2 linked regions of the Macaca fascicularis genome follow. The protein of the gene in region 1 interacts with the protein of each later gene in a pairwise test. Links are inferred from orthologs where the notes say so. Each region holds a gene or a part of one and is shown on either strand. Other genes may lie near its edges.

Region 1 (3,650 bases):
GTGATCCACCTGCCTCGGCCTCCTAAAATGCTGGGATTACAGGTGTGAGCCCTCACTCCCGGCCCAAAGCCTAATTTCATCCATGCCATGCTACCTAAAAATGAAGCAAGGCATAAACAGCCCTGAGGATGGTCACCATCTTATGGAAGTAGACACTCTTTCAGTTCATCAATCTTTGCCTTACCTGTCTCAATGCTCCATAAGACTAGGCTTAAAATATGGCAGTTGGACATATTTTTCTCCCATGGTTTTCTTTTTCTCTAAAATAAATAGGAAACCACAAGGGAAAAGTGATGGTTGTGGTTAAAAAAAAAAAAAAAAGAAAAGTTGGAGAGAGGGAGATTGCTACTGATACTGACTACTTCATATGATATATACTATAGATTAATAAAAATTTACTGATTGGGCCGGGCATGGTGGCTCACCCCCGTAATCCCAGCACTTTGGGAGGCTGAGGCGTGTGGATCACCTGAGGTCAGGAGTTTGAGACCAGTCTGGCCAACATGGTGAAACGCTGTCTCTATTAAAAATACAAAAATTAGCCAGGCGTGGTGGTGGACACCTGTAATCCCAGCTGCTTGGGAGGCTGAGGCAGGAGAATCACTTGAACCCAGGAGGTGGAGGTTATAGTGAGCCGAGATTGTGTCACTGCACTCCAGCCTGGGTGACAGAGCGAGACAACCTTTAAAAAAAAAAAAAAAATTACTGACTGTTTCAGCATCACATATGGCATATATATAGTAGATAAAATTTCCTTATTCTAAATGTTCTAAGGCCAGGTTTGAAGACGACACTTATCTGTCTGGCTTATAGAAGTTTTTGGGGAGTTTACCGCAAATATCTTCAAGAGCCTATAATGTACAAAATACTGTGCTAAGTGCTTGGAGGATATGATGATAAATTAGAGCTTATAGACCATGAGCAGAGACATACAAATCCATAAATGGCAGGCATCATAGAAGGCCATAAAAGATGCATGCAGAAAAGAAGAGGGAGTCATTAATTTGGAGGGATATGGGAAGAGGTATAGGTTGTAGTTTCTCTTTGTTCATTCCCCTGTAAGGGTGGGCTTAGAGTTAATACAAAGGGGCCAGGCAAGATGGTTCACGCCTGTAATCCAGGCACTTTGGGAGGCCGAGGCAGGCAGATCACCTGAGGTCAGGAGTTTAAGACCTCTGGTCACCTGAGGTCGGGAGTTCAAGACCAGCCTGGCCAACATGATGAACCCCTGTCTTTATTAGAAATACAAAAATTAGCTAGGCATGGTGGCACAAGCCTGTAATCCCAGCTACTTGGGAGGTTGAGGCATGAGAATCGCTTGAGCCCGGGAGGCAGAGGTTGCAGTGAGCTGAGATCGCACCACTGCACTCCAGCCTGGGTGACACAGTGAAACTTCATCTAAAAAAAACGCATAAAAATAAAAACACAAAATTAGCCAGGCATAGGAGCATGCACCTATAATCCCAGTTACTCAGGAGGCTGAGGCAATCTTGGCTCACTGCAACTTCTGCCTCCCAGGTTCAAGCAATTCTTCTGCCTCAGCCTCCCAAGTAGCTGGGATTATAGGCACCCACCACCACACCTGGCTAATTTTAGTATTTTTAGTAGAGACGGGGTTTCACCATATTGGTCAGGCTGGTCTCTTGGCCAGGCTGGTCTCGAACTCCTGACCTCGTGATCCACCCGCCTTGGCCTCCCAAAGTGCTGGGATTACCGGCCCGAGCCACCCTGCCCGGCCTCCGTCAAAGGTTCTTACCTTGTAAGTGACTGAGTTAGAATTTCAGCTGTATCTCAAGTTGCTGGGCCCAAAACTCATAGAATATTGACATTTTATCAGTTATAAAATGCCTCCATGTACAAGCACTGCTGGGGAAGGTAATCACCTCTATGTGGAGAGGGGTTTACACACAGTATAGGTTGAATACCAGCTTGTTGGGATGTTTTAGAGGAGATTCAAACGTTAGCTAGTTGTTGGATGGCATGGTGTTTAAGGTCTTTTCCAACTTTTTGATGCCATCATCAGTATTTTGTTCAATTTTAAAAGACACATAGATGTTCTCTAATCTTGATTAAACAATTATTTTATTTCAGTGAAGAAAATATTTGGAAGCTCTGTGAATACATCAAAAACCATGACCAGTATCCTTTGCAAGAATGTTATGCTGTCTTCATATCTAATGAGAGGAAGATGGTAAGTTGGTGAGTGAGTGCAGGAAGAAAATGAGATTTAACATGACATTAGAAGCTAAATTAAATTAAAAAAAAGAAGCAAAATATAGCATGGGTGTAGTACTCTTCTGAAGTGTGCTTTATAAAATACAGCAACATTTAAAAGTTTTCTTTTGAATGAGATTTTTTTCCTTACAAGGCATGATTGAGTTAGATGAGTTGAGTCCCTTCTGTTGCCCAGGCTGGAGTGCAATGGTGCAATTCTTGGCTTACTGCAACCTCCACCTCCCGGGTTCATCTCCTTCCTCAGCTTCCCGAGTAGCTGGGACTTACAGGCATGTGCCACCACGCCAGGCTAATTTTTGTATTTTTTTTTTTTTTTTTTGAGACGGAGTCTCGCTCTGTCGCCCAGGCTGGAGTGCAGTGGCGCGATCTCGGCTCACTGCAAGCTCCACCTCCCGGGTTCACGCCATTCTCCTGCCTCAGCCTCCCGAGTAGCTGGGACTACAGGCGCCCACAACCGCGCCCGGCTAATTTTTTTTGTATTTTTAGTAGAGACGGGGTTTCACCGTGGTCTCGATCTCCTGACCTTGTGATCCGCCCACCTCGGCCTCCCAAAGTGCTGGGATTACAGGCGTGAGCCACCGCGCCCGGCAATTTTTGTATTTTTTAGTAGAGCTGGGGTTTTGCTATGTTGGCCAGGCTGTTCTCGAACTCCTGGCCTCAAGTGATCCTTCCGCCTTGTTCCCACAAAGTGCTGGGAGTACAGGCGTGAGCCACCGTGCCCAGCTTAGTCCCTTATTTTAGGTAAGGAAATTTGTGATGGTCTACACAGATTGAGTCCCTTTTCTTTAGGCATTAATGTAGACCTGGTTTTGTTGTTGTTGTTGTTGTTTGTCTTTTATTTTCTTTTTTGATACGGAGTCTCGCTCTATCGCCCAGGCTACAGCACAATGGCACGATCTCGGCTCACTGCAACCTCTGTCTACCAGGTTCAAGGGATTCTTGTGCCTCAGGCTCCCGAGTAGCTGGGACTACAGGTGCCCACCACCATGCCCGGCTAATTTTGTATTTTCAGTAGAGACAGGCTTTCTCCACGTTGGCCAGTCTGGTCTCCGACTCCTGACCTCAGGTGACCTGCCTGCCTTGGCCTCCCAAAGTGCTGGGATTACAGGCGTGAGCCACTGTGCCTGGCCATTTTTTTTTTCTTTTTTTAAATTCAAGATGGAAGATGTAGACTTTTAAAAAATTACTTAGATATGCATACTCTCAGTTTTAAAATAAGGATTTGTCTCTGGAGTTTAAATAGAACTACAGTCAACTTATATGAGGAATTAGAAAAAGGAAGCCCTTCGTATTTTGTAAAACACGTTTGCAGGCATCATCTCATTTGATCCCAATGGAAGCCCTGTGAAGGCAGGCAAGGTTTGGACAACTTGCTTCATTTTATAGATGAGAAAATTAAGACTTAGGGTGGCCCT
Region 2 (3,650 bases), on another chromosome or scaffold:
TCACTGCCTCTCTGGTCCCCGGCCCCGCAGGTGTACATCGGCGAGCTCCCGCAGGACTTCCTCCGCATCACGCCCACACAACAGCAGCGGCAGGTCCAGCTGGACGCACAGGCGGCCCAGCAGCTGCAGTACGGAGGCACCGTGGGCACCGTGGGCCGACTGAACATCACTGTGGTTCAGGTGGGCCTTGGGGCACCCTCCTGCCTGCCTGGGGCTGGTGCGCTCAGGTGGGGTGGGATTGAGGATTTCGCGTTTACACTGCATTTCCTAAGCGGGCAAACGGAACTTCTGATTCCCGCTTTTCCTGAAATGTGTGATGTTGAAAACGATCTGTGTGAAAAATACTGGCATTGACCCCGGCTTTTGCCAAACATAACTCAAATGATGAGTAGTGGGGGTAGGTGGGCGTCCGCTCCGTGTAGGGTCCAACCGGCTCCACCACCAGGCTTGAGGATGCCCCAGGACGCCTCCCAGGCCCCTGCCGGCAGCTGGAGGAGGCGTAGCTGGCCCCCCACCACTCGGCGTGCGCTGCGCGAGTGGCTTCCCATTGGCCCCAGTGCCGATGCCCGCACCCTCCCCTCCCCACAGAGCAGCCCTCGGTCAGCCTCAGGGCTGGACACCAGCCGCCAGGACGTGGTGACTCAGTGGACTTTCAAGTGAAAACCAAAATCGGCAGATTGAACACCGATTTTGATCACACCAAAACATTCCGTAAGATCACAGGAAAAGGAAACGCATTGTGAGCCACGCAGGCTTTTGTAGAAATGCACAAATACAGCAGGCAGAAGAGTCGCCGCGGACCTCACAAATAAGACTTGGTTTCAGGGGCTTCACTTGGTGTGGTGGGCACAGCTGTGCCGTCACCCCTTCCTCGCAGCGTGTCTCAAACCCTTGCCTGTGCAGCTGTTTCTCTGCTGGTGTGGCCCATCCCTCTGCCCACCCAGTGAACTCCTGTAAGCCCATGCTCTCCTGCCCCAGCTGCCACCAGGCCACCTAGTGCCATCACCCATTCTCAGCCGCTACCTCCTGGCAGGGCCTGGTGACCGCAGGGCACTCCGCCTCACAGTTCAAACTCCAGACCTGGCTGGGCCTTGGAGGTGGCCCTGGCATTGCCCACGCCTCCGGCCCCCCTTGGTCTTCTCCCACATCCTGGAGCCCACTGCAGGCAGCCTGTCTATTTCCTCCACGCGAGTTCACCCAGCCTTCCGTGCCACAGCTCCAGTGGGGGGGAACATTCCTGCCTCCTCACTGGGCCACGTAGCTCAGCACCCGCTTCCTGCTTCTCTTGGCTTCTGGGCAGCTGCACATGTGGTTCCCTGCTTGCCTCCCCTGGCTGCTTCCCCTCATCGTCTCCTGGGGCCCCAATGGGATGCCAAGGGGTCTGGTCCTCAGCCCTCCTCCCGTCTCTGCCCACACACCCCAGTGACTCCTGCGTCCCTGTGGGTCTAAACACCTGTGTGCTGGTCCCAGCCTGAGCCAGACACTCAGCTCCACCCCAGATTCCCAGGTACGGACCATGGCCACATGGCCTCCCCGGATGTCCCGAGGGCATGCCAGACTCCATGTGCCCAAGGTGGACCTCTCAAGCCACCCTCCCAGCTTCTCCCCCATGTCTGCAGGTGGTTGCCCCACACTCTGGAAGCTGAGGCCCAAAGCTCTGGTGCTCCTGGTGCTCCACGGTTCATCTCCACCTCTTGCCCTTCAGGCCTGACCCTCAGCACAGGCGCCACCTTCCGCCGGTCCAGGCGGGGAGCCCCCTGCACCACCCACTGCCTCCGCTCAGCCACTGGCTTGTGGCCAGAGCAGGTCACTCCCTGCACAGGCCTTTCTCGTGGGCATTGTCCTGCCGAGGCTTCTCAAGCCGGGGCCCATGTTTTGCCTCCCCCGGTCACTCCTGACCTTCCTGTTCCCTGGCTGTTCTCTTCCCGCTTCCTGCAGCTCTTCCTCCAGATCCTGCAGCCCACACATTGGTCCTCCGAGCTGGTCGTGCCTGCAGTGGTAGCGCCGTCTGCCATGCCGTGTGTCTGCCGCGCGTCTCTTGCCCGTTGTCGGGGAGGCAGCGGTGCCTGCGTGTCCCCGCAGTGTCCGTAGTGCCCGCAGTGCCCGCAGCGTCTGCCGCATCACAACAGCGTGTGGTTGTGTGGGGTTGTAGTGAATGGGCAGATGCTTCCGTAAACATCAAGGAGGTCACTTCAGTAGAGCAGTTGATGTCACAGGACGCTCCTCCTAGAGTTTTCTAGCCACAGTGCAGAGGGCAGTGGGAGGAGACGGGAATGACAGGACAAGGCTGAGTGTGACAGAAGCGGGCAGGACCCAGTGTGAGCAGGTGTCGGTGACGGGCACAGGGACGCTGGCAGCGGGAGTCCCACATGCCGCCCGGAAAGCTGCCTTTGCTCAAAGCCTTTAAAGTTAATAATAATAAAAAGTCTTAGCAACTAGGCAGAAACAGCACAGTTACCTGAAAGCTTGGGAACATCACGCTGGTCTCAGACTTTCCTGCTACATACCTTCCAGAAAATAGGGCAATTTCTAAGGAGTTTAGAGGGGCAGAGTTTCGAGTGTAAGAGCTGATCTGGCAGATCTGTGGGTGTGCAGCAGAAGGGAATTGGAAGCTGCTAGTCACCCAGAAGCTTCCAGAAAACTGTTCCTCCGTAGTATTCCAGAGCACGCTCCGGCCACCCAAGAAACACGCTAAAATTAAGGACCCAAGAATGGGGCGGTTTTGACATAAAACGGCCGGCCACAGTTTTGGTTAGAAGTGAAAGGAGGGAACTTGTATGTGGATGAGAATAGAAAACAGAGGACCCGGCAGTCCAGAGATGTGGGCACAGGAGGGGAGAGTTCAGCTGTGCGGCGGGGGGTGGCGACGATGGGACAGCTGTGCCCTCAGAGGAGGCGGTGAGGACAGGGTGGTGGTGCCCTCAGAGGGGGCGGTGAGGACAGGGTGGCGGTGCCTTCAGAGGGGGTCACCGAGAACTGGTTGTCTGTGCCCTCAGGGGGGGTGGGGGGCGGTGAGAATGGGGTGGCTGTGCCCTTAGGGGGGCGGGGGCGGTGAAGATGGGGTGGTCGTGCCTTCAGAGAGAGGGCAGAGAGGACGGGAGGCCGTGCCCTCAGAGGGGTTGGGGGCAGTGTCTGGACTCTGTTACACTGGGAAGGAGGAACTGGTGGGCTCTGTGTGGCTGGGAGGGCCGAGGTGGCTCCTGGGGTCTTTGTCACCAGCTCCTGGGGGTGAGCCAGGTTGGCCGCAGGAGAGCGGGTGGCGGCAGTGCGGGGAGGCCGTCTGCGTTCCAGGGAGGCAGCCGGAGCTGCAGGACTGAACCCAACCCAGCTCACGACGGCTTTTCTCTTGATTTTTTCTTGTAAAAGTTTTACAGTTCTAGGTTTTATATTTGAACCTGCCATCCACGTTGAGTTTGTTTGCCGAGCAATCATCTTACGTGCCGCAGTCTTCTGTCTTATGTGCCACAGTTTTTTGTCTTATTCTGAATGTTCATTCCCTTTAACACACGTTCACTCCCACCCCGCGGACCTCAAATGTCCCAGCCCAGCTGAGTGCCTGGCCTGAAGTCGAATCTCATGGTCTACATGTGATGTGGCTCCTTGTGATTGGGAGACACAAGAAAGACAAGTTCCTGTCCCCAAAATGCCAC

What was found.
Region 2: the proteins of NTAQ1 (region 1) and TOLLIP interact in binary tests that used the Homo sapiens proteins (3 or more experiments, as listed by UniProt). The two-hybrid records come from large-scale screens. The link is inferred for Macaca fascicularis from reciprocal best matches to the Homo sapiens genes NTAQ1 and TOLLIP.

What each region holds. Positions count from the first base shown.
Region 1 is NC_088382.1:133,069,036-133,072,685, forward strand, and holds part of NTAQ1 (protein N-terminal glutamine amidohydrolase), read left to right. Parts: intron 1-2,091; coding exon 2,092-2,191; intron 2,192-3,650. UniProt on the Homo sapiens protein: Mediates the side-chain deamidation of N-terminal glutamine residues to glutamate, an important step in N-end rule pathway of protein degradation.
Region 2 is NC_088388.1:1,216,317-1,219,966, forward strand, and holds part of TOLLIP (toll-interacting protein), read left to right. Parts: intron 1-30; coding exon 31-180; intron 181-3,650. UniProt on the Homo sapiens protein: Component of the signaling pathway of IL-1 and Toll-like receptors. Inhibits cell activation by microbial products. Recruits IRAK1 to the IL-1 receptor complex. Inhibits IRAK1 phosphorylation and kinase activity.